6 linked regions of the Ovis aries genome follow. The protein of the gene in region 1 binds, or shares a complex with, the protein of each later gene. Links are inferred from orthologs where the notes say so. Each region holds a gene or a part of one and is shown in the gene's direction. Other genes may lie near its edges.

Region 1 (4,243 bases):
TGAATGATGTGCCAAAAACGTGGAGTCTAATCACAGCAGGAGGCCTGAAGAGGTGTTAAAGCAAGGAGGGACTCAACTGAGCCTGTGTTTAGAAAGACTTGACAGGTGTAGCAGGTTAAGAGTGAGAACACAAATGAAAGGAAAGGAGCGGTTAGGACCATGTCATGAAGAACACTGATACTGAAATGCAGGGTGGAGTAAGGCAAAGGGGAATAGAATCCAGGAAGAAATTAAAGCCAAGAAGGCAACCAACTAGGGAACCAGGGCACTCCGCGGCTCAGCTCTGAAGTGCCCCCTCCCAGCTGGTCCCACAGATGCAGCTACAGAAGATGCTGCTCGATGAAAAATCCACACAGTGCAGACGCTCTGCAAAGCCTCACAGTTATGCGGAACCTCTCCCAGTTGTTTGGCCACCTCTGTCTTTTATGAGCTTCAAAGCCTGATTTATTCACTCTCAAACCCCCGCAGGAGGGCGTAGGGCCTGTAATTTGGGAGCGTCTCTGCTGGGGTGGAGCAGAGGATATCTACAAGGTAATGAGCCTGACAGCTCACTCCTGCAGGATCTTCAGATTTAGCTCTGGTCCTTTGGGGGAAACACACGCACACACACAGAGAAGATGCTGACTGGAGTGGGCGATCGGGCCGATAGTCTGAACTACAATTCCCACAAGCCACTGGGGCCCAAACCAGCAAGAAAAAGCAGGCAACCCCCCCACCCCCCTTCTGGATGTCTCATGGGAATTGGAGTGCCATAGTTTGGGGGTAGCGCTATGCGTTCCCTCTGTTGGCCCCATTCGAATTCCACCAGGCTCCATCAGAACCTTCCTCAGGTCCTCAAGGAGGTCGAGTGACCCACCCATCACGTTCCATTTGGTCTGGCCCAGACGAAGGAGGTAGGGCAGAAGGATGCGAATAGGGGCTACTCCCTTTAGATACCTTCGCATTTGCTGGGCAAGCGTTCTGTGTCATCGTCCTCCTCCTTCGGCGTCCCAGCCCAAGCACCGTACACAGTCAAAATGAAAAGCAACGTTCCCAACCGCACAGGTCCCATGACCAAGTGCCGTCCACAGCTAACCACCCCTTGCTTTCAAACCAACTTCGAGCAGGCAGCGGGCCCTTTAAATCGCCAGGCGGTCGGCGGCAACATTAATCCAGCCTGGCACGGGAGGCGCACGCGCAGTGCCGCCTCGAAAGAGGGCGGGGCCTCGCTGCGCTCTGGGCTTCCCCACCTGGTTTTGTGGCGCCTCCCGCAGGTCCTGGCCGCCGCATAGTGAAAGAATAAACTGAAGTAATTACAGCAAGAGAGTGTGCTCCTTACACGCAAGCATAGAGACACCGTTTTTATATCATTTCAGGCTCTGAGACTAGGGAGCTCACTCCGGCTCGGGGAAGGGGCAAGGGACCCGCTCTCGGTCTCTGCCAGGACCTGCTCCCGGAGGGGGCGGGGCCAATATGGCGCCGAGCGCCGGGTGAGCGGCGCTTTGGCGGCGGTGAGAGGCTTTTCCTGCGCTGGGCGTTCGGCTGGCGGGGGCGGGTCTGAGTGGTACCCGGGTCTAGACTCTTTGAAGGGCCCGTGTGGGGACCCAGAGGGGGACGGTTGGTTGAGTGTCCGTGTGCGTGGGGGCTCTGTGTGTTTGCACTGGAGGGATGTTGGGGGATGAGGTGGGCTCTGTACGCTTTCTTTCGCGCTGTACCCATTGCCTGGAGAACCTTCGACCCGCTTCCCTGCTGGGGAATGCTACACGGATCTAGATGAAGTTAATCTTCTGTGACGCCTCCTTGCCGCTCCAGTGACCTGAGGTTTCCTGAGGCCGTGGCGTGTTTTGTGAGCCTTTACACTGGCAGAGGGTACCGCGGGCTATCGAAGGATTAGTAGGAGCTCATCAGGGTACTGGGACACGACCGCCTCCTCTTTACTCGGCTCGAGGTCTAGAGTATGTGTTGAATAAATGTGTCCTCTGCAGATAAGATTTATAAAAGTGGGGGAGGAGACCTGGGATGGGTTGAGAAGAACGAAATTGTTTTTCCCTCCCCTCTTCTCGCCCCTCCATCAGGCCCACACCTGCCCCTCACCACCTTGCAGTCGCTCCTAAACACTTTTGACATTAGACTTCCTAATGCCAGGTTCAAGTGAACATTATGGCCAAGCTTGGGCCTATGTCTTGTTCGATAATAATGGTACCGAGTCCTTAGTGAGTTCCTAGTCTCTAAGCCTTACAACTCATATATTCAGCAGGTATTTGTTGAGTATCTGTCTGGGGACTCTGCATACATCAGTGAACATAACAAAGCTCTCTGTCCACACATAGAAGGGAAGGGGCGATGTAGTGAGAAGCATAAGAAGTAATACAGTATGTATCAGCAGACGTTAAATTCCATGGGAATTTAAAAAAAAAAAAGGCAGAGCCGGGGTGGGGTGCAGTATTAAACAGAGTAATGGGAATAGGCAGCCTGGGGACATCTAGGGAAGGGCATTCCAGGCAGAGGGAACAGAGCAAGACCACAAAGCAAAAACATGCCTGGCATCTTGGAACAGCAAGGAGGACCATGGGGCTGGATCATAGTGGAAGAAGGAAAGGAAAGGTCAGAGACTTGATGGGGAGATAGCAAATCATAAAGGACCCCGAAGACCGAAATAAGGATTTTGTATTCATGCTGTGGCACACTGGGAGCCAGTACAGGGTTTCGAGCAGAGAAATGACCCAATCTGATTTATATTTTGACAGAATCATTCTGGCTGCTAGGTTGGGAATAGATGTAGGGAGCAAGGATGCAAGCAGGAAGACCTTGTCAGGAGGCTCTTAAGGTTCCCCAGCAGGTGGGTAATGGTGAGCTGGCCACGCAGTGGGAGCAGAGGGATCAAGTCGGATCACCTGATGGGTCTGCGGTGAGGGCTCACATGATGAATAAGCATCTGGGTTAATGGCATTGCTATGAAGATGAGGAAAGCTGAGGCTGGAGCAGGTGGGGAGGGGGATGTCAGGAGTTGAGTTCAGAAGAAATTTTAAGTAGCCAGTTAAATATACAAGTCTGGAGTTGGGAATAAAGTTCTGGGTGGGGGATATAAATTTACCATCCTTAGCCTGTATGCAATACTGAAAGCTGTGAGAATGGTTGAGGTCATCAAGAGAATATGTATACCTCATAGCTATATGAGGACCAAAGGCAGGGCATTCCAGCATCAGGCAGATGAGGAGAAGAGGAAGAACCAGCAAAGGCAATGTAAAGGGGCTAGTGAAGGAGGAGGAAAGCCAAGAGCAGGAGTCAAAATCCTGACTGGGGTAGGTTCAAGAGAAGGAGAGGAGTTGGGGAGGGGCGAGACGAGAACCTCTATAGTAACAGGTAAGACAGAGCATGTGGGTGCCAGAGATGCTCAGCGGGTGGACATAGCGATGGGAGCCTGGGGAAGTCTCTTCTGATGGCCAAAAATCAGGGAGGAGGAGATGACAGGTGGGATGGAACCTGAGTGCACTGAGCTCTGTGACCATCAGCGCAGCATCAAGAGCCCATCTGAAGTTTGTGGCCATGAATTTAAAGTGCAGATTGGTCAACATGGCTGTGTATTTTCTCATCACATTCAATGGTAGGGGCACATAGGCTCAGACAGGGCAAGTTGTATTTAACCAACATTTTATATTTGTCAAGCATGAATAATGATGCAAGAAGGGGCAAGAGACATGAAGGTAGGCATGTCAACCACCTGAGGTAAAAAGGACACTTTGCACATTTTACAGAGAAGAAACCCAAAGCCAGGAGCATTTAAGTAGCCTGCCTAGACAACACTGCTAGGTAGTGCTGGGGCTGGGATTGAAACTAAGAACTGAGATCGTTCTGCTATACCTGACTTGTACTGTGCCTGGCACAGAACTAGAGCTCAATAAATTGCGTCCAGTTGGGTCCAAGTCCTACCTCCTGTTCAGTGAGTGCTGCTCATGTGAGGATGGACAGAAGACATCCCCCAACTCCATCCCCCTCATGCTCCACTGCTCTCCCCTTGTGGTGGCCTCTCCTGACTGGACAGCCCCTCTTTAGGTCTCACTCTCAAGTTTCCTCTCAACCCCTGCCAGGGTCTCCATCTCTCTGCCCTGGGGCATCATCCTTCCGGGGAGGGGAGGAGGGGCTCCAGAATGGCTGAGGAGAAGAAGCTGAAGCTGAGCAACACTGTGCTGCCATCGGAGTCCATGAAGGTGGTGGCCGAGTCCATGGGCATCGCTCAGATTCAGGAGGAGACCTGCCAGCTGCT
Region 2 (3,500 bases), on another chromosome or scaffold:
TGCTCAGTCGTTGTGACCCCATGGACTGTAGCCCTCCAGGCTGCTCTGTCGATGGGGATTTCTGGGCAAGAATACTGGAGTGGCTAGCCACTACTCCTCTAGGGGATCTTCCTGACCCAGGGATCGAACCCGTGTCTCCTGGACTGAAGACAAATTCTTTACCTCTGCGTCACCTGGGAAGGTCCTTTGTTCCTACTGTTGTTTATCAGTTGCTCAGTGGTATCCAACTCTTTGCCACTCCGTGCACTGCTGCATGCCAGGCTTCTCTGTCCTTCAGCATCTCCCAGAACTTTCTCACATTCATGTCCATTGAGTCAGTGATGCCATTCAACCATCTCGTCCTCTGTTGTCCCCTTCTCCTTCTGCCTTCAGTCTTTCCCAGCATCAGGGTCTTTTCCAGTGAGTCGTCTCTCCACATCAGGTGGCCATAGTATTGGAGCTTCAGCTTCAGCATCAGTCCTTCCAATGGATATTCAAGGTTGATTTCCCTTAGGATTGACTGATTTGATCTCCTTGCAGTCCAGGGAACTCTCAAGAGTCTTCTCCAACACCACAGTTCAAAAGCATCACTTCTTCAGCTCTCAGCCTTCTTTATGGTCCAGCTCTCACATCTGTACATGACTCCTGGAAAAACTAGCTTTGACTATATGGACCTTTGTTGGCAAAGTGTGATGTCTTTGTCTTTTAGTACATTGTCTAGGTTTGTTATAGCTTTTTTCCCGAGGAGTAAGTGTCTTTTCATTTCATGGCTGTAATCATTGTCTGCAGTGATTTTGGAGCCCAAGAAAAGAAAATATGGTGCTGTTTCCACTTTTTCCCCATCTGTTGGCCATGAAGTGATGGGACCACATGCCATGATCTTAGATTTTTTTGAATGTTCCTATAGACAGTTAAAATATTTAATAAAACAATGGAGGTCTTTGTGTTACTTTCATAGGTTGTAGAGTGTGTATTTTATGATAACGCCCAACTGATACTCAGGTGGGTGATCAGAGTCATGAGCGGAGTCCTGGTTTCTCACCTGCTCAAGTTGAAATCTGTGTTACTTTCTGCCTTCGTTGATGGTGAGGGAGATGGGCTCCACAGAGATGGAGAAGTGTCTGCTGGCCACGGCTGGAGCCGGTGTGCCTTGAGCCAGTGTGAGGGCAGGGCTCCCTGAGCCCCTCTTCCAGAGGGGAGGGCTCTGCTTTAATCATGCTTCATTGCAGCAGAAAGATGAGACATAGCAGAGTCAGGCACTGCGATCATCACCTGCTGCCCTTGAAGCCTGTGGGGACAGGAAACCCTGAGGTTTTCCCTGAGCTTGTGCCAAAACGTGGCCTGCACCTCTGGGGGCCACCGTGTATCTGTTCTTCCGGATGTTGTGAATTTCCACAGGATTTATCGCAGAGATAATGTGGTCCAGGGCACCGCCCCCCCCAGCCTCCTCCTCGAGTGCTTGTAGCACAGGGCAAGCCCCCAGGTGACTGTTGTAAAACTCAGAAGCTGGGTTTTGAGCATCTGGCCTGAGGCTGTGGTGGGTCTCAGGCGGCCCTGGCACCCATGCTGGCATCTGGGGAGAAGCTGCTTGTTCCCGCTGGTTCAGAAGCTCTCCGGACCGTGTCCCCTGGGTGCTGACCTCAGGGCCCCACATGCGGCTCTGCTCCAGGAGCTCGAGGTGGTGTGGAGGCACTAGACCTGGGGTACCATCCAACCTGCTTGGTCCCTTTGGACGGCCGGGACCCTGGGCTGGGGATGGGTGCCGGCAGCCCCCTTGGGGGTGGGGGTGTGTGCTCACGCGCCCCGCGGGCTCTCTCCAGGTGATCCAGCCACCACCCAAGCCTGGAGCGCTGATCCGGCCGCCGCAGGTGACACTGACGCAGACGCCCATGGTCGCGCTCCGGCAGCCCCACAACCGCATCGTGCTCACCACGCCCCAGCAGATCCAGCTGAACCAGCTGCAGCCAGGTGAGCGCCTGACCCTGTCCGCCTGGTCCTCATCACTGTGGCACTCACAGCTCAAGCTTGGCTGCTTCACATGTGCCCTTCAGTCCCCACCCTGGCAGCATGGTTTTTAGAGGACGGGATTCCTTACCAGCAGTCATTCTTACACCTCGAAAAGTTTGATGAAGTGCAGGAAAATAAGTGCTTGAGAGAGGCTCCCTGCATTTTTACTCTAGTTTAGAGTTAGTAACGGTGTTTCTTACGGTTTAGGAATCTTCCTCGTGGCGGGTTGGGGGTAATGGCCTCCCTCGGCCCACTCAGCCTTGGCGCGAGTCTGTGCAGGGGGTACACTCTTGCGTCTTGCTCTGCAGTCCCTGTGGTGAAACCTGCTGTGTTACCTGGAACCAAAGCTCTTTCTACTGTCTCCGCACAAGCTGCTGCTGCACAGAAAAATAAACTCAAGGAGCCCGGGGGAGGCTCGTTTCGGTAAGGAGTGTGCACTAGAGGCGCCAGAGGGAAGGCCACGTGGGTGCCGGCCTGTGCCTAGGAGCGACTGCTCTGTGGCACCTTTTGAAGCTGTGTTCCCTCCACGCTCAGCTCTGATCTCCATGCGTGTGTTTTCCCACTAAGCAACTCGGGGAGGTTTGCTGCAGACACAGGGTGGGAAGGCAAGCCAGCTGACTCTGTGCAAGCTGGCAGGAGGTTTGTTTCTGAGATACGACGGCTCAGACTTCTGAGTGCATCTTGGTCCTCATAGAGGACCCATCCTGTGACCTCCCATCAGTTTCACAGCCTTTAGAGGTTCTGCGCTCTGGTTTCTTGACGGGCAGCTGGTCTGAGTGTTGCCCTAGGAATGGCTGTGTTATCTCCTCTGGTTTCAGTCTAGAGGTGGTGAAGTGTGCACATGTTGGGGGCCTGTTGGTCCTTCCCTTCACAGACGCTCCGGCCCCAAACGGTTAGGGAGCAGGCCTGGTGTTGGCAGCACTGGGAGCCTTCGGGGCCCACATTAGAGCTGGGCTCCAGGCAGGACGAGGAGGTGGGGGCCAGGCAGGGTGGGAAGGATGCTCATGAGGGTGAGGGAGGTTGTGGAGCTGGGAGACACGTCTACTGGTGGGTCAGAGAGGAAAGAAACGAGGGCTCCCAGAGACCATGCTTCCTTCTGCAGGTGAGGGAGCCAGCTATGCAGAGCAGGTCAACCAGATGGGCCTGGTGGGGTTGGGTCCCTGCTGAACAGTCAGGTGACAGTTCTGGGAAAGCCATAGCTGGGGCTGCCCACCTGCCCTGGGGCCAGTGATGCACAATGGCAGCAGCACGCCCAGCGCCCAGGTCTTGTTGTCTAGAACCAATTCTTCCACAGTGACCAGGTGCTTCGCGAGGCTGCAGGTTCCAGGCGGGGGTCAGGAGGATGCAGGATAAGTTAGTGCCTTTCCAGTGGTTAGAAAGTGGTGCTCGAGGGTCAGAGTTTCGCAGAGTTCTACCCCTCATTGAGTTAGAGTCGCTGCCTCTTGTTTCCTGAAGGGACGATGATGACATCAATGACGTAGCGTCCATGGCTGGAGTGAACCTGTCAGAAGAAA
Region 3 (4,160 bases), on another chromosome or scaffold:
GAAAAACCAAACTGGGGTCAAGCCATTTAAATTCCACCCCATGATACGCAATATAAGTCTGCTGAAACCAAAAGGGACACATTCACATCTGCTGTTTGCAAACCTCCAGCCTCCTAACAATTTGTAGGACCCTTGACTGGAGAGGAAATGTCTATCAAGTGACTCTCTTTCATTTTAAGGCAATACAGAATGTATTTTCTCCCACAAATTATTAGAGGATTTAGATTATATTTATGTTCTTCGGATGGGTCAATTTTTTCATTGAATTACCAAATATTTCTTACGCCCCACGTTTTGATATGAGGCAATGGGACCAGATGAGCACACGGTTAGCCTTCTAATTATCATGGACCTTCCAATCTTCGGTGAGGGAGACAATAAGTACAAAATAAATAAAGTGAATTTTCTACATGTTAATCACATCTTAAGCGAGTTCCCTTAAACTTAAGATGCAGGTGTCGATATTTTAGAGAACAGAATTTTAATTTTAATGATAGTGGAACTCTACTAAATTGACCCTATTAATAAATGGAAATGAACAGAAGTGAAAACTCTTACACTGTTAGTCCAAAGTACTATAAATCCATGTTAAGAATACCTGACAACCTAAAGAGGCAAGTAGAAAAGTTAGCTCAACAGTAGGGGTGAATTTTTTTTTAATTCCAAACTAAAAAATTACTGGCAAATTAGTGGCAGGCGATAATACTTCAGTTAAAGGTTAATCAGACCATTCGTCTTTCAGACAACGGTCCTAAATGAACACGGTCCTCCCGAAGAACACTACGTTCCCTGTTTACACTTATACCTACACCTAACACATTAAAAGAGAAATCACCCTTGTTGCCTCAGGAAGTCTCCAAAACACAAACAGACCGTGAGTCACAGGCCCCCTAAGGACACTTTAATTATCAACAAACACAGAATTACATAGTGGGCAGCACGTCCTCACGCCACTGATTCGGGTACTTTAAAATCTACAGGCATGGTTAGTTATGAATTCTTTTATCGGCTCCAGATTTAAGAATATAGTCTGGGAGACTCTGAGATGTTTCCAGAAACAAACACTATTTCCGCACGGACGCCCTATCTCCAGTAATCACACGGAAGCCTAAGGAAGTAACCGGCCCCAGGCGAGCTAGTTAAAGCTCTGGCTTAGCAGAGGCAGGCGAGACAATCTTTCTTAGAATTGCTTTCTGTTTTAAACACTTTAAAGACAGTGATTGTTTTGGAAACATGATCGCTACCTTCTCCTAAAACCAAAATCTCGCGAGACAACAAGTCACGCCGAACGGCGTAATCGCGCGTTGCGCCTGCGCGCGCTGAAACGCCCTGCACTTCCGCCGAAGGCGTGCTGTCACTCACGGACTCCTCCTGTCCTGCGGGGTGACGTAACGCTTTCTTTTCCGCTAGCTCTGCAGCTCCGGACGGAGGCACGCCGAGCTGCGGAGTTGCAAAGTCTGGCGCTCGGAGCTGCGGTTCTCTGCGAGATTTCACCTTGCCAGTTCCGAGTCATTTCACCGATAATCAATAGCGGATCGCTTTGCCAAGTGCCGGGAAGAACAAAGGAATCAAGAAAGAGACGCTCTGCTCCCGGCCTTGTTCTGAGTGGCTTTTTCCGCTCGTTCCTGTCCGGAGAATCTGGATTTATAATCGTCACTGGATTGTAAGTACCCGAGGCGAAGAGAGCTCACTACGCCCCGCGTTTTGAATATCTTTGTTCCGGGAGAGTTTGTGGTTTGGGCGTATCTGCTGAGCCTTACTTTCTGTGCTGAAAATCCGTAGGAGCTGCCATTTGCTTTCTCTGCATTGTTCTGCAGCGGCATCTAGAGGTTGAAACTTGGCGTTGCAGCTAATAGATTTAAATGGACATAAACGAGTAAGACAATGCATCAGTAACAACTGGTGTTCAGTCACGGCGTTTTCAAAAAGACTTGGGACTTAATTAAAAACAGATATATAGCTGATGTTCTACCTAGAACTCTTTGTAATTAAGGATTCAAGTTTATACAGAACTGGTCTTTCTGGTGAAGTACCTGGAACTTTTTAGTGCAACAAGTGGTTATTAGAGAAAAAGTGAATTACAAAGAAATAAAAATGAGTAAGAGCAAAGATGATGCTCCTCATGAACTAGAGAGCCAGTTTATCTTACGCCTACCCCCGGAATATGCCTCTACTGTGAGGCGGGCAGTACAGTCTGGCCATGTCAACTTGAAGGACAGACTATCAATTGAGTTACACCCTGATGGGCGTCATGGAATTGTCAGAGTGGACCGAGTCCCTTTGGCCGCAAAGTTGGTAGACCTGCCGTGTGTTATGGAGAGTTTGAAAACCATTGATAAAAAAACCTTTTACAAGACAGCTGATGTCTGTCAGATGCTTGTCTCTACAGTTGATGGTGATCTCTATCCTCCTGTGGAGGAACCAGTTGCTACTGCTGATCCCAAAGCAAGCAAAAAGAAGGATAAGGACAAAGAGAAAAAATTTGTTTGGAACCATGGAATTACTCTGCCTCTGAAAAATGTGAGAAAGAGAAGATTCCGTAAGACAGCAAAGAAAAAGTATATTGAGTCTCCAGATGTGGAAAAAGAAGTAAAGCGGTTGCTGAGCACAGATGCTGAAGCTGTCAGTACCCGCTGGGAAATAATTGCTGAAGATGAGACAAAAGAAACAGAAAATCAAGGCCTTGATATCTCTTCCCCAGGAATGTCTGGCCACAGGCAGGGCCATGACTCCTTAGAACATGATGAGCTTCGGGAGATATTCAATGACCTCAGCAGCAGCAGTGAAGATGAAGATGAAACACAACATCAAGATGAAGAAGATATAAACATCATAGACACTGAAGAAGATCTGGAAAGGCAGCTACAGGACAAACTAAATGAATCAGATGAACAGCACCAAGAAAACGAGGGAACCAATCAGCTGGTTATGGGAATTCAGAAACAGATTGATAACATGAAAGGCAAGCTCCAAGAGACCCAGGACAGAGCAAAGAGACAGGAGGATCTCATCATGAAAGTGGAAAACCTGGCTCTCAAAAACAGATTTCAGGCTGTGCTGGATGAACTGAAACAAAAGGAAGACCGGGAAAAGGAGCAGCTCAGCTCTTTGCAAGAAGAGCTAGAATCACTCCTAGAGAAGTGAGGAGTGGTTTCATACTTAATTTCATTACTGTGAGAGGTCAGCATTGAAAGAGAAAATTTTTTTTGTTTTCATTGCTTGTAAAACTTTGCAGTTCGCAGTTTCTTCCACTGTCTTCTATTGGATTTGTCTTGTAGACAAATGTGAACTTCTATCTCATTTGTCTTTTGGAACCACTTTGCTAGGTGTTTATCCCATAGGAAGTAGGAATGTATAGACAGATAAATGTGGAGAAGTTGTAGGATTAGTGGAGTGAAAAGTTCAACTTTGTTATTAATCACAGCTTCATTGCAGGACTTTGTGGCTGTTTCTCCGTTTAGAAGCTTCCATTGCTACTCTGTGATGACATCTGAGGTAAATCAGTAGAGTCTAGTCTGGAGGCAGTAAAGTTTGTTTGCATATGTTTTTTGATGCTATAGCTAATTTTCCAGCTATTCAAAGCAATTTTTTCGTATTTTTGCATTGCAAGTCATTTCGTAACGTTCAACAATAAATAAAAGCAAGTTAAGTTTCACTTTATAATGTGTCTTGCTCTTTTAGGGGTAATGGATATTATCCTCTTCTGAAGTGGTTTCCTGGTGGGGTTTAATATATTGACCAATTGGATTCTGTTTTGTAGGAAAAGAAGCAGTTATGTTCGATTTTAAGAAAAGAACACAGCAAGGGCAAAGAAATCAGGCAGTATCACCTGCTCCATTTGGAGGTTAGGAAATAAAGAGCCTTCCTAAACTATCTGAATGTTTTTTCCAGCCTAATCTCCCATTCTTCCACTGTTTTCAATCCTGAGCTTATTTACATTTTTTTCAAGGAGTTTAATTACTCCTCTTCCTCTATAATAGTCTAATGGGATAAGTACTCTTATGCACCTGTCATACCAGAGTCTAAGTTACCTGTTGCTCATATCCTTACTAAGCTGTTAATTCACTGAGATTAGGCATTTTGCCTTGTTAGTCACTGTAAAGAAGAGTAAAGCAGTTAAAAATCACAAGGTCAGGTGATGTAGTGCCTGAGTTGAGTGA
Region 4 (2,722 bases), on another chromosome or scaffold:
TGGAAGTTTCTGGTTACCGTTTATCATTAAGGATGGAGAGAGATATACATGTATATATATGGGTATACGGAGTTTGGCTGTGTTCAGTTCCTGTGAATTTTTACCCTTTGTTTTAGATTATTTCCTTCATAAAGAATAATAGAAGTAAAATTACTGGGTCAGAGAGTATGCATTTTAAAAAATCTTTTTCTGCTTATATTAAATTTAGAAAGTATTATTAAATTTATTTTATATATGCTTATATTAAATTTAGAAAGTATTAAAGAGTGCCCAGAAGAAAATAGAAAGCTATAACCCTTCTACCAAGGGATAACTGATGCTGAGATTTTTGTGAATATTCTTTTGTCTTTTTACACGTTTTAAAACTTTACAAAATTGAAATCATGTAGTACATACAGTCATAGAGCCTGCTTTCCCTGTGTCACTGCAGAATACTTTTAATATTTTTGATGGCTTCATAATATTAATTGGCTAGATGTACTCAAATTTGTTCAATGCCTTATTAAATATTTAGTTTCTTTTTTTTCAGTCATTAGAAATAATGCTGCAAGGAGTTTTTTGTTTTACACAGTATGATTATGTAATCATAGGGGATGAGATTTGTCTAAAGAAAAGCCACCAATATTTATTAGCTACCAAGATGGACACAAAGTTTAAATGAAGTGGGTGGTTACAGAGAAATTACAAAATCATTTTATACAAATGAAGATCAACTATATGTATATCAAAATACAAAAAGAAGCATCTATGGATTTGATAGTTTTAATGACTTTAGTGTAAAAAATGTCTGTCAAGCACTGAAACATTGCTAATAATGGTAGAAGTGGACAAAGAACATTAATAGAAAGACAATTCACAAATGAATAGCTATAATAATTAGAAGAGAAGTCTTCAAACTCACCAGCATTATAGTTAAAAAAATAAAATGTTAGATTTTTGAAAAATTAATTGAATTTAATATGTTTCTTTGTAATAGACTCATAAGGCAATGTCAATTGGAAGACAAGGTCGGGTACAAGTTGAAGATATCGTCTTCTTGATTCGAAAGGACCCAAGAAAGTTTGCTAGGGTTAAAGACTTGCTTACTATGAATGAAGAATTGAAACGCGCTAGAAAAGCATTTGATGAAGCAAACTATGGATCTTGACATCTTTTCTGAAGCTTCATTATGTTCTGGGGAAACCATACTTAATAACTGTATTTTCCACAGTAAGGCCCTGATACCTAACCATGTGAATGAAAAATGGAGAACCACAAAGTTTTCAGGCTTTATTTTCATGTTTTCAATTTTAGAGTGATATATGAGCCTTTAATTGCCTGCCATTATATTACCCTACTTGAATGACATATTAGATTTTAATGACCACATGTAAGTCAAAGTACCTTTGGTTTGCAAACCATTCAGTTTCCTCTGACTCTTGACCATCTCAATGATGAATTAATATTTATGTATACTTGTGCCATTGTAGGTTGTACTATAGCTGTTTAATCTGTGAAATCTAAATGGCACCTTTGACTTTGATAGCTAAGATGTGTTTCATATATTTCTAAAGCTTTTAGACCAAAGTATTGTAAGTTATTAAAAGATGGTGAACTGGTTTGTGTTTCTTTTAAGGAGAAAACAATATTAGAAAGTACAGTCTTTTGTAGGAGTGTTTATTTGTCTTAAGATAATTTAATACTCTTCTTTGGATAACAAGAGTGATTTTTTTTATTTTTTGAGAAACTAAGAATTTCCTATGAATGGTTCTGTGTTGAAAGACATACTGGATTAAAAATCTTTGGGGTTTATAATATACTGTTTGTCAGATTTTAAAAGAACTCGTTTTCCCAGGTCAGATTAAAACTTCAGAAAGTGCTTTCAGTAGCAGGAATGGCATTGCTGAAAAGTTGATGGCAGGTAAGCATTTCGGGTAGTGTTTTATTAACATATTTGTTAGTATTTATTTATTCTGAAAATGTATACTTGACTAAAACCATGTGTGGCTATGGAAACCACTTTTGTAGTTCACAAATTTTGTGTGTATTTAGCTCATTGTATTATTGCACTTAGCTGAAAGTAAGGATTAAAATTGCATTTAAAGGGATCACTGGATATTACTCTTTGTGAAACTGATTGTTTCGTGTGCCGCTTATAAGCATTGTCTATGAATCAGTATTTAGGAAGGTTTCACTTTCTTAACCTATCAATGTAGAGAATAAAGGATGAAAAATTAAAAAGATTACTGCTTGAGTTTGACTATATGATTTATCAGCTTTTCTCTCCCTTATAATTCACTAAAAACTTTTTTTTCTGTATTATTCTTGTAATGCTCCTGAATTGATTGTGAGATTCAAGATACCTGGCCTGATATTTTTATTTGAAAAAGCAAAAACCAGTTAAAAATCTACTTTAAACTGAAATCAAGATTGAGCGTGGAATAATAAAAGATCAGTATGTTACTATTTTTGCTAGTCAGAGTCTGCTTGACCCTGAAGAATGACCTGGTGGTAACCGGCAGAGTGGAGTTACACTGGGTGCCTGTATTAGTCAGCTTGGGCTCCCATAACAAAAATGTCAGACTGAGTGGCTGGCTTAAACAATGGAAATTTATGTTTTCACAGTTCTGAAGACTAGAAGTCTTGAGATCAGGGTGCCAATAGGTCAGGTACTGGTAAGGAGTCTTCCTGGACTGCAGATAGCTGCCTTCTCCCTGTGCTCACATGGCTGAGAGAGACCTCT
Region 5 (4,007 bases), on another chromosome or scaffold:
TAATCTGGTCTTTGGATGGTCCTTAAAGATTACCAGATTAATTTGGTGTGTACGTTTCAAAGTACAAAATTTGGCTGGCAAACTATAAACGATGCTTAAATACACAGCTCTTCGCAGTGAAGAGTCCTAAAGAGAGTGCCTTTCCACAACCCTAGTTCTTTCAGTGCACTGTCAAGGAAAAGTATTAAGATAAAGCGGGTAAGTTAAAAAGAAAGAAAAGCTCACATACAACATGCAAGAATACACACATTCAAAGGTCCGCCTTCTGAGTATTTTTCCCCTGAACTTACGCTAGCCCTTAAAACTAAACACTGATCAATGAAACTAAGTCTGTGCAAGTAATCCTACCTGCTATTTAAAACAACTCAAAATGGTGATTTGATTAGACCTATTAGCTAGACAGGGCTTCCCTGATGGCTCAGAGGTTAAAGCGTCTGCCTGCAATCGGGAGACCTGGGTTCGATCCCTGGGTCAGAAAGATTCCCCTGGAGAAGGAAATGGAAACCCACTCCAGTATTCTTGCCTGGAGAATCCCATGGACGGAGGAACCTAGTGGGCTACAGCCCATGGGGTCGCAGAGTCGGACACGACTGAGCGACTTCACTTTCGCTAGACAGCTATATTTAATCACATGGCCAATCAACCCTAACTTTTAATCTCAGATGTTCAACCTGCCCCGTGCCTGCTGGCTAGAGAAGCACATTCAGACAGGTCCATTTTTAAAGCTCTTCAGAGCGGAGGTCAGGTGTCAATTTCTATCTGCTGTCTACGTAAAGCTGGCCATCCACATCAAGATCCAGTGACCCGCCTATAAGGTGAAGCCCTGAAGAACAAGAGCTAGCCGAGCAACCTCGGAGAGGGAGGCCTGAGACTGGAAGGGCAGCGCCGGGCAGACAGACTTAAGCAGGGATATGGAGGAAGAAAGAGAAAGCGGCGGCTCTGCGGGTTTTACCCTCCGTTGAAAGCGTAGGGCGAAAAGCGCAGCTGCAAAGGGCCCACGGAGCTGTGCGGTTCCATGGCCAGGTCTCGGCCCGCGCCCGAGTACGAGGCAACGGAGGACAACATTCCGCGGCTGCTCTCCTGCTGTCTCACGGCAAGATGGCTGCCTCGACCGGAAATTGTGCCGTTTCCGGTTTCCGCGGCGCTGCCTCCGGCCGCTCTATCTCGCGCCAGTCGTTGCTCCTGGAGGCCAGAGCCCTCCCTTTCCAGTCGGTAGCTATTGCCTGCTCTACGAAGAGACCTGGCAGTGAGGTACAGGCTTTCTTTTCCAGGCAAATATTCGAAATCACTCGTGATGGATAGAAATTTTAAAGTCTGAGCTTACAAAGACATTGGAAAAACTATGGAGCAACGGAAACTCGAAGAGTCTATTGAAGTGTAAATTCGGAAAGGGACTGGCATTACTTGACATAGTTGAAAATACACACACATCATGACCCAGCAGTTTCACGCCGAGGTATGTACCCTGGCCAGAAGACGTGAAAGAATGTTCATAAAGATGTTCTTAATGGCCCCAAACTGGAAATGAGCTAAATATCCATAAACTGCAGAATGGATAAAGCAACTGAGGGATGTGGATGTGCAAAAGCAAGCAAATTAACTGACTTTGGCTAGAGGGAAAGGTCCTCCTTGGCTAGGGATGGGTTGGAGGTTGTAGTGCTAGCAATACTGGGTTTCTTTACTTGATTTAATGTTTGCCTGCTCAGTAGATCAGGCGTGTCCGACTCTGCGACCACACGGACTATGCCCATCAGGCTCCTCTGTCCATGGGGTATTTACAGGCAAGACTACTGGAGCAGGTTGACATTTCCTCCAAGGGATCTTCCTCCCCCAGGGATCGAACGCCCATCTCCCGTGTCTCTTGTACTGGCAGGCAGGTTCTTGGCCAACGAGCCACCAGAGGAGCCCTTGGTTGCTGTTGCTCAGTCGCTAAGTCGTGTCTAACTCTTTGCAACCCCATAAACTGCAGCCCGATAGGTTTCCCTGTCCTTCACTATCTCCCAGAATTTGCTCAAACCCATGTCCATTGTGTTGATCACATCCAACCATCCCATCTTCTGTTGCCCCCCGCCCCCCTCCTCCAGGCTTCCTTCTCCTGCCCTCATTCTTTTCTAGCGTCAGGGTCTTTTCTAATGAATCAGCTCTTTGCATCAAGTGGCCAAAGTATTGGAGCTTCAGCTTCAGTCTTTCCAATTAATGTTTAGGGTTGATTTCCTTTAAGATTGACTGGTTTGATCTCCTTGCTGTCCAAGGGACTCTCAAGAGTCCCTCCAACACCACAGTTCAATTCTTTGGCACTCAGCCTTCTTTATGGTCCAACTCTCACATCTGTACATAACTCTGGAAAAATCACAGCTTTGCCTATACAGACATTACCAGCAAAGTGATGTCTCTGATTTTTAATACACTGTCTCGGTTGGTCATAGCTTTCCTTCCAAGGAGCAAGCGTCTTTGAATTTCATGGCTGCAGTCGCTGCAGTGATTTAGGAGCCCAAGATCAAATCTGTCACTGTCTCCACTGTTTCCCCGTCTATTTGCCATGAAGTGATGGGACCGGATGCCATGATCTTCATTTTCTGAATGTTGAATTTTAAGCCAGCTGTTTCACTCTCCTCTTTCATCCTCATCAAGAGGCTCTTTAGTTCCTTTTCGCTTTCTGCCATTAGAGTGGTATCATCTGCATATATGAGGTTGTTGATATTTCTCCAGGAAATCTTGATTCCAGCTTGAGGTTCATCCAGCCACACATTTTGCATGATGTACTCTTCATATAAGTTAAATAAGCAGGATGACAGTGTACGGCCTTGATGTCCTCCTTTCCCAGTTTTGAACCCGTCCATTGTTCCATGTCTGGTTCTGTTGCTTCTTGACCTGCATACAAGTTTCTCAGGTGATAGATAAACTGGTCTGGTATTCCCATCTCTTTAAGAATTTTCCATTGTTTGTTGTGATCCACACAGTCAAAGGCTTTAGTGAAGTCAATGAAGCAGAAGTAGATGTTTTCCTGGAATTCCCTTGCTTTCTCTATGATCCAATGGATGTTGGCAATTTGATTTCTGGTACCTCTGCCTTTTCTAAATCCAGCTTGTACATCCGGAAGTTCTTGGTTTATGTACTGCCCTTACTTGATTTAATACCATCTATTAATCTGTATACATGTTTACATACTTCTTTATATGAATATCATATTTTACAATTTAAAAATGTTAATTAAAAAAAGCAAGCAAGCCTTTGACTAATATAGAATGGACTGCCTGATATATACATGCAATTCTGGAAGCAGAAAAAGATTTTTGAAAAGTACTTTTTTTAATTAAAACTTTTCCTATACTTTACTGTAAACAAAGCATAAAAGAAAGGGTTTTCTTTGATGGTTATGGACAGAGAAGTATTGTATTTATTCAGGTACTGTCTTGGATACAAAAATTCTGTAAAATCTTTCCTATCCTTAAGGAGCACACAACCTCATTGATTATGTGAAGCACAAAGGAAGCAAGCTAACAAGCATTACAACCTGCAATTATGCCTAAATGAACCATAGGATATTAGAGATACCAAAGGAACATTTCATGCAAAGATGGGCATAATAAAGGACAGAAGTGCTATGGACCTAACAGAAGCAGAAGATATTAAGAAAAGATGGCAAGAATACACATAAGAACTATACAAAAAAGCTCTTTATGACCCAGATAACCACAATGGTGTGATCACTCACCTAGAGCCAGGCATCCTGGAATGTGAAGTCAACTGGGTTTTAGGAAGCGTCACTACGGACAAAGCTAGTGGAGGTGATGGAATTCCAGTTGAGCTATTTCAAGTCCTAAAATATGCTGCTGTGAAAGTGCTGCACTCAACATGCCAGCAAATTTGGAAAACTCAGCAGTGGCCACAGGACTGGAAAAGGTCAGTTTTCATTCCAATCGCAAAGAAAGGCAATGCCAAAGAGTGTCCAAACTACTGCACAATTGCACTCATCTCACATGCTAGCAAAGTAATGCTCAAAATTC
Region 6 (3,114 bases), on another chromosome or scaffold:
CAACTCTTGGAGACTTTTTCCTCATCTGTTAAGTGAGGATATTGATACCTGCCTCTAATATTCAGGAAATCATTAAGTGGAATAAACTTAATGGAATGCCTAACACACAGATGTAGGCAGCAACTATTAGTTCCCTTCCTCCCTTGCACTGCACACCCTGTGTCTACCTCCAGTATTTTAACTCCCATATATTGGTGAAATGGCAAGTTTAACTGTTAATGCCTCCCTTTGCAAGACCACTGGTGCCCGGAGGAGTAGAACCTTCTCCTACTTAACTCTGTATTTGCAGACCCTAGCTCAGGACTGACAAAAATAAATTTTTGCTGTGTTGAAAACCCCACTCTTTCACTAGCCGTGATTTTACATAAATTGTTTATTAAGACTGAAAGACAGCCATCCCTCTGTATCCTCGGGTTCTCCATCCACAGATTCACCCAACCGTGAACTGAAGATATATATATTTTTTAATTCCAATTATAAAAGACGAAACTTGAATTTACCATGCACCAGTAAACTATTCACATCGCATTGGATATTATAAGCAATCTAGAGATTATATAGAGTATACAGTGCAAATACTATGCCATTTCATATAACGGACTTGAGCATCCACGGATTTTGGTATACATGGGTTGGGGACGGGAGTCGGGGGAGTCCCGGAACCAATCCTACCAACCCTTCACCACCTATACGGACGGTGGACTGTACCTCTCTCCCCATCTGCAGCAGCACTGTGTCAGCTGTCCGGTTACCTTCACTTTGGGCAGCTGGCGGGGAAAGAGGCTATTCAACTCCACTACAAACCCTTAAAAGGCTGGATAAAGGAACTTAGAAAAGATGCAGACACGCAGGCGACCAACAGTAGAGAGGTGTCGGGGCGATGAGCATCAAAGCAAGAATTTTAGACGTCAGGCTGGGTGAGGGGGCCTCAAGCCCATAGAAGAGAATCCTCGACATTGAGGGGTTCCCATCCCAGCGGATCCACACTGGAGAACCGCGGGTCCGGACGCGAAATGTCCGCGCCAGCCCAGTTCCGCAACACTTGGTCTCCGCCCTCCCGCCTTTGTCAGGTAGCGGCTGGATGGGCGGGGAATAAAGGAAGGAGGCCTAAGGGAGGAGCGAACGTGGCGTGGGAGGAACGAGTCGTGGGGCGCGTGACGTCACCCCTGGTGTGTGCGTAAGGTGAACGGAAGCGGAAGCGGCTCTGTTCGCCGCCTCTCCCACCGGCCCGATGAGCTGCAGCGGCTCCGGCGCGGACCCCGAGGCGGCGCCGGCCTCCGCCGCCTCGGCCCCGGGCCCGGCGCCCGCGGTCTCGGCCCCCGCCGCGCTGCCCGCCGGCACCGCCGCGGAGAACAAGGCCAGCCCCGCGGGGACGTCAGGGGGGCCTGGGGCTGGAGCCGCGGCAGGGGGCACTGGAGCCGTGGCGGCGCGGGCCGGGGAGCCTGCCGAGCGGCGCGGGGCGGGTGAGGGCCGGGACGGGTGAGGGCGAGGGCCGCGCTTTGGGCTGGGCCCAGCGGCGGGTGAGGGCAGAGGGTAAGACACACCTAGCGGAACCCTCGAGCCTCCCACCTCCGTGTCTCAGTTTGCTGGTTTTCCTCCAGCTCCAGTGACGACCGGCGGCGCGGCGCCCCCGGAGGGGGCCATGTCTAACGGGGTTTACGTGCTGCCAAGCGCGGCCAACGGAGAGGTGAAGCCAGTGGTGTCCAGCACGCCTCTAGTGGACTTCCTGATGCAGCTGGAGGATTACACGCCTACGGTGGGCTTCCTGCCTGAACAAGGCTAATGACTCGCTGTCACGCCAACTTCTGCCACACCATCTGGATTTGCAGCATCCTCTTGTGTTTCTCTTCCTAGCTTTTGTGATTTTTCCCTTCTGCCCACCCAAACTGGGAGCTTCCTGATAGCCAGGCCTGCCCTCCATTTCCCTTACCCCGACTCTCAGCCCCGCTGTACACAGGGCTAACGCTTACAGTCGTCTAATTGATTTCTCAGATCCCTGATGCAGTGACTGGTTACTACCTGAACCGTGCTGGCTTTGAGGCCTCCGACCCACGCATGTGAGTAAACTCTGGGCAGGTTAGAGTGTTGGGTGTTTGTGTGGAGTTTATTGTCTATGCTCTTCTCATACCATTTTTTTCTCTCCAGAATTCGGCTCATCTCCCTAGCTGCCCAGAAATTCATCTCAGATATTGCCAACGATGCCCTACAGCACTGCAAAATGAAGGGCACAGCCTCTGGCAGCTCCCGAAGCAAGAGCAAGGTGTGAGGGGAGGCTCATTGATTCAGTAATTACTTCCTACAGCAGCAGAGGCTTAAATTATCCTGAAACCCCTTTGAGGGAAATTAAGCCTTAGGGGAGGTGAAAGACCTACTCAGGGTCACCTGCCTGGGATTGAAATCTGGAATTCCTGTGTTCAGCTGGTGCTCTTCCCTCTTCCCTCAGGACCGCAAGTACACTCTAACCATGGAGGACTTGACCCCTGCCCTCAGCGAGTATGGCATCAATGTGAAGAAGCCGCACTACTTCACCTGAGCCACCCAGTCTAAATGTACTTGTCTGTTCTCTTGTCCCCACACCAGCCTGTTTTCATAATAAACTTTATTGTGACAGGCAGGGCTGATCCCTCCCATGCTGGGAGACACCGTGTGGCAAGTGACAAAGCTTTGAGCCCATTCCCTTTTGGGGCCACAGTGGTAGGGATGGGGGCAGGGGATGGGCCCCATGGCTGGGGTAGTACCATGACTAGTGGCAGGGGAGGCAACCAGAGGCCTACTGCTTTGGGGAGGTGCACTCCCCTAACCGTGTCCTGACACCTCTGGAGTTCAGATAAGGACTTTCCAGCTCTACTTGTCCTGCATCTTCTCCAGGATAGGCACGATCATGTCAAACTTGGGCCGCTTAGCAGGGTCTTCATTCATGCAGATCTTCATGAGTTTACAAACGTGGGGGGAAATGCCTGGTGGGATGGTAGGCCGAAGGCCTTCCAATGCCACCTGCAAACACAAGGAAAAACAAGGTGAGTCTCAGAACTTGAGTCTCATGTCGGGAGAGACGTCTAGCCCTCAGGACAGGATTCTGTGTATTTGAATCAATGTGGCAGGAGCCCAGCCCCA

The links.
Region 2: TAF6 (region 1) and TAF4 share a complex: the UniProt entries of both Homo sapiens proteins name them as parts of the TFIID basal transcription factor complex. The link is inferred for Ovis aries from reciprocal best matches to the Homo sapiens genes TAF6 and TAF4.
Region 3: TAF6 (region 1) and TAF7 share a complex: the UniProt entries of both Homo sapiens proteins name them as parts of the TFIID basal transcription factor complex. The link is inferred for Ovis aries from reciprocal best matches to the Homo sapiens genes TAF6 and TAF7.
Region 4: TAF6 (region 1) and TAF13 share a complex: the UniProt entries of both Homo sapiens proteins name them as parts of the TFIID basal transcription factor complex. The link is inferred for Ovis aries from reciprocal best matches to the Homo sapiens genes TAF6 and TAF13.
Region 5: TAF6 (region 1) and TBP share a complex: the UniProt entries of both Homo sapiens proteins name them as parts of the TFIID basal transcription factor complex. The link is inferred for Ovis aries from reciprocal best matches to the Homo sapiens genes TAF6 and TBP.
Region 6: TAF6 (region 1) and TAF10 share a complex: the UniProt entries of both Homo sapiens proteins name them as parts of the TFIID basal transcription factor complex. The link is inferred for Ovis aries from reciprocal best matches to the Homo sapiens genes TAF6 and TAF10.

Annotation. Positions count from the first base shown.
Region 1 is NC_056077.1:36,773,985-36,778,227, forward strand, and holds the start of TAF6 (transcription initiation factor TFIID subunit 6), read left to right. Parts: upstream 1-1,443; 5' UTR 1,444-1,490; exon of another isoform or gene 1,491-1,934; intron 1,935-4,067; 5' UTR 4,068-4,127; coding exon 4,128-4,243. Other genes in the region: CNPY4 (protein canopy homolog 4), read right to left, coding at 937-1,051. UniProt on the Homo sapiens protein: The TFIID basal transcription factor complex plays a major role in the initiation of RNA polymerase II (Pol II)-dependent transcription.
Region 2 is NC_056066.1:54,836,453-54,839,952, forward strand, and holds part of TAF4 (transcription initiation factor TFIID subunit 4), read left to right. Parts: intron 1-1,799; coding exon 1,800-1,947; intron 1,948-2,294; coding exon 2,295-2,409; intron 2,410-3,441; coding exon 3,442-3,500. UniProt on the Homo sapiens protein: The TFIID basal transcription factor complex plays a major role in the initiation of RNA polymerase II (Pol II)-dependent transcription.
Region 3 is NC_056058.1:50,054,608-50,058,767, reverse strand, and holds TAF7 (transcription initiation factor TFIID subunit 7), read left to right. Parts: upstream 1-1,393; 5' UTR 1,394-2,094; coding exon 2,095-3,144; 3' UTR 3,145-3,660; downstream 3,661-4,160. UniProt on the Homo sapiens protein: The TFIID basal transcription factor complex plays a major role in the initiation of RNA polymerase II (Pol II)-dependent transcription.
Region 4 is NC_056054.1:86,372,192-86,374,913, reverse strand, and holds the end of TAF13 (transcription initiation factor TFIID subunit 13), read left to right. Parts: intron 1-976; coding exon 977-1,147; 3' UTR 1,148-2,222; downstream 2,223-2,722. UniProt on the Homo sapiens protein: The TFIID basal transcription factor complex plays a major role in the initiation of RNA polymerase II (Pol II)-dependent transcription.
Region 5 is NC_056061.1:91,733,620-91,737,626, forward strand, and holds the start of TBP (TATA-box-binding protein), read left to right. Parts: upstream 1-1,207; 5' UTR 1,208-1,456; intron 1,457-4,007. Other genes in the region: PSMB1 (proteasome subunit beta type-1), read right to left, coding at 953-1,065. UniProt on the Homo sapiens protein: The TFIID basal transcription factor complex plays a major role in the initiation of RNA polymerase II (Pol II)-dependent transcription.
Region 6 is NC_056068.1:46,195,751-46,198,864, forward strand, and holds TAF10 (transcription initiation factor TFIID subunit 10), read left to right. Parts: upstream 1-1,206; 5' UTR 1,207-1,231; coding exon 1,232-1,463; intron 1,464-1,601; coding exon 1,602-1,756; intron 1,757-1,992; coding exon 1,993-2,057; intron 2,058-2,145; coding exon 2,146-2,260; intron 2,261-2,443; coding exon 2,444-2,533; 3' UTR 2,534-2,614; downstream 2,615-3,114. Other genes in the region: ILK (integrin-linked protein kinase), read right to left, coding at 2,845-2,994. UniProt on the Homo sapiens protein: The TFIID basal transcription factor complex plays a major role in the initiation of RNA polymerase II (Pol II)-dependent transcription.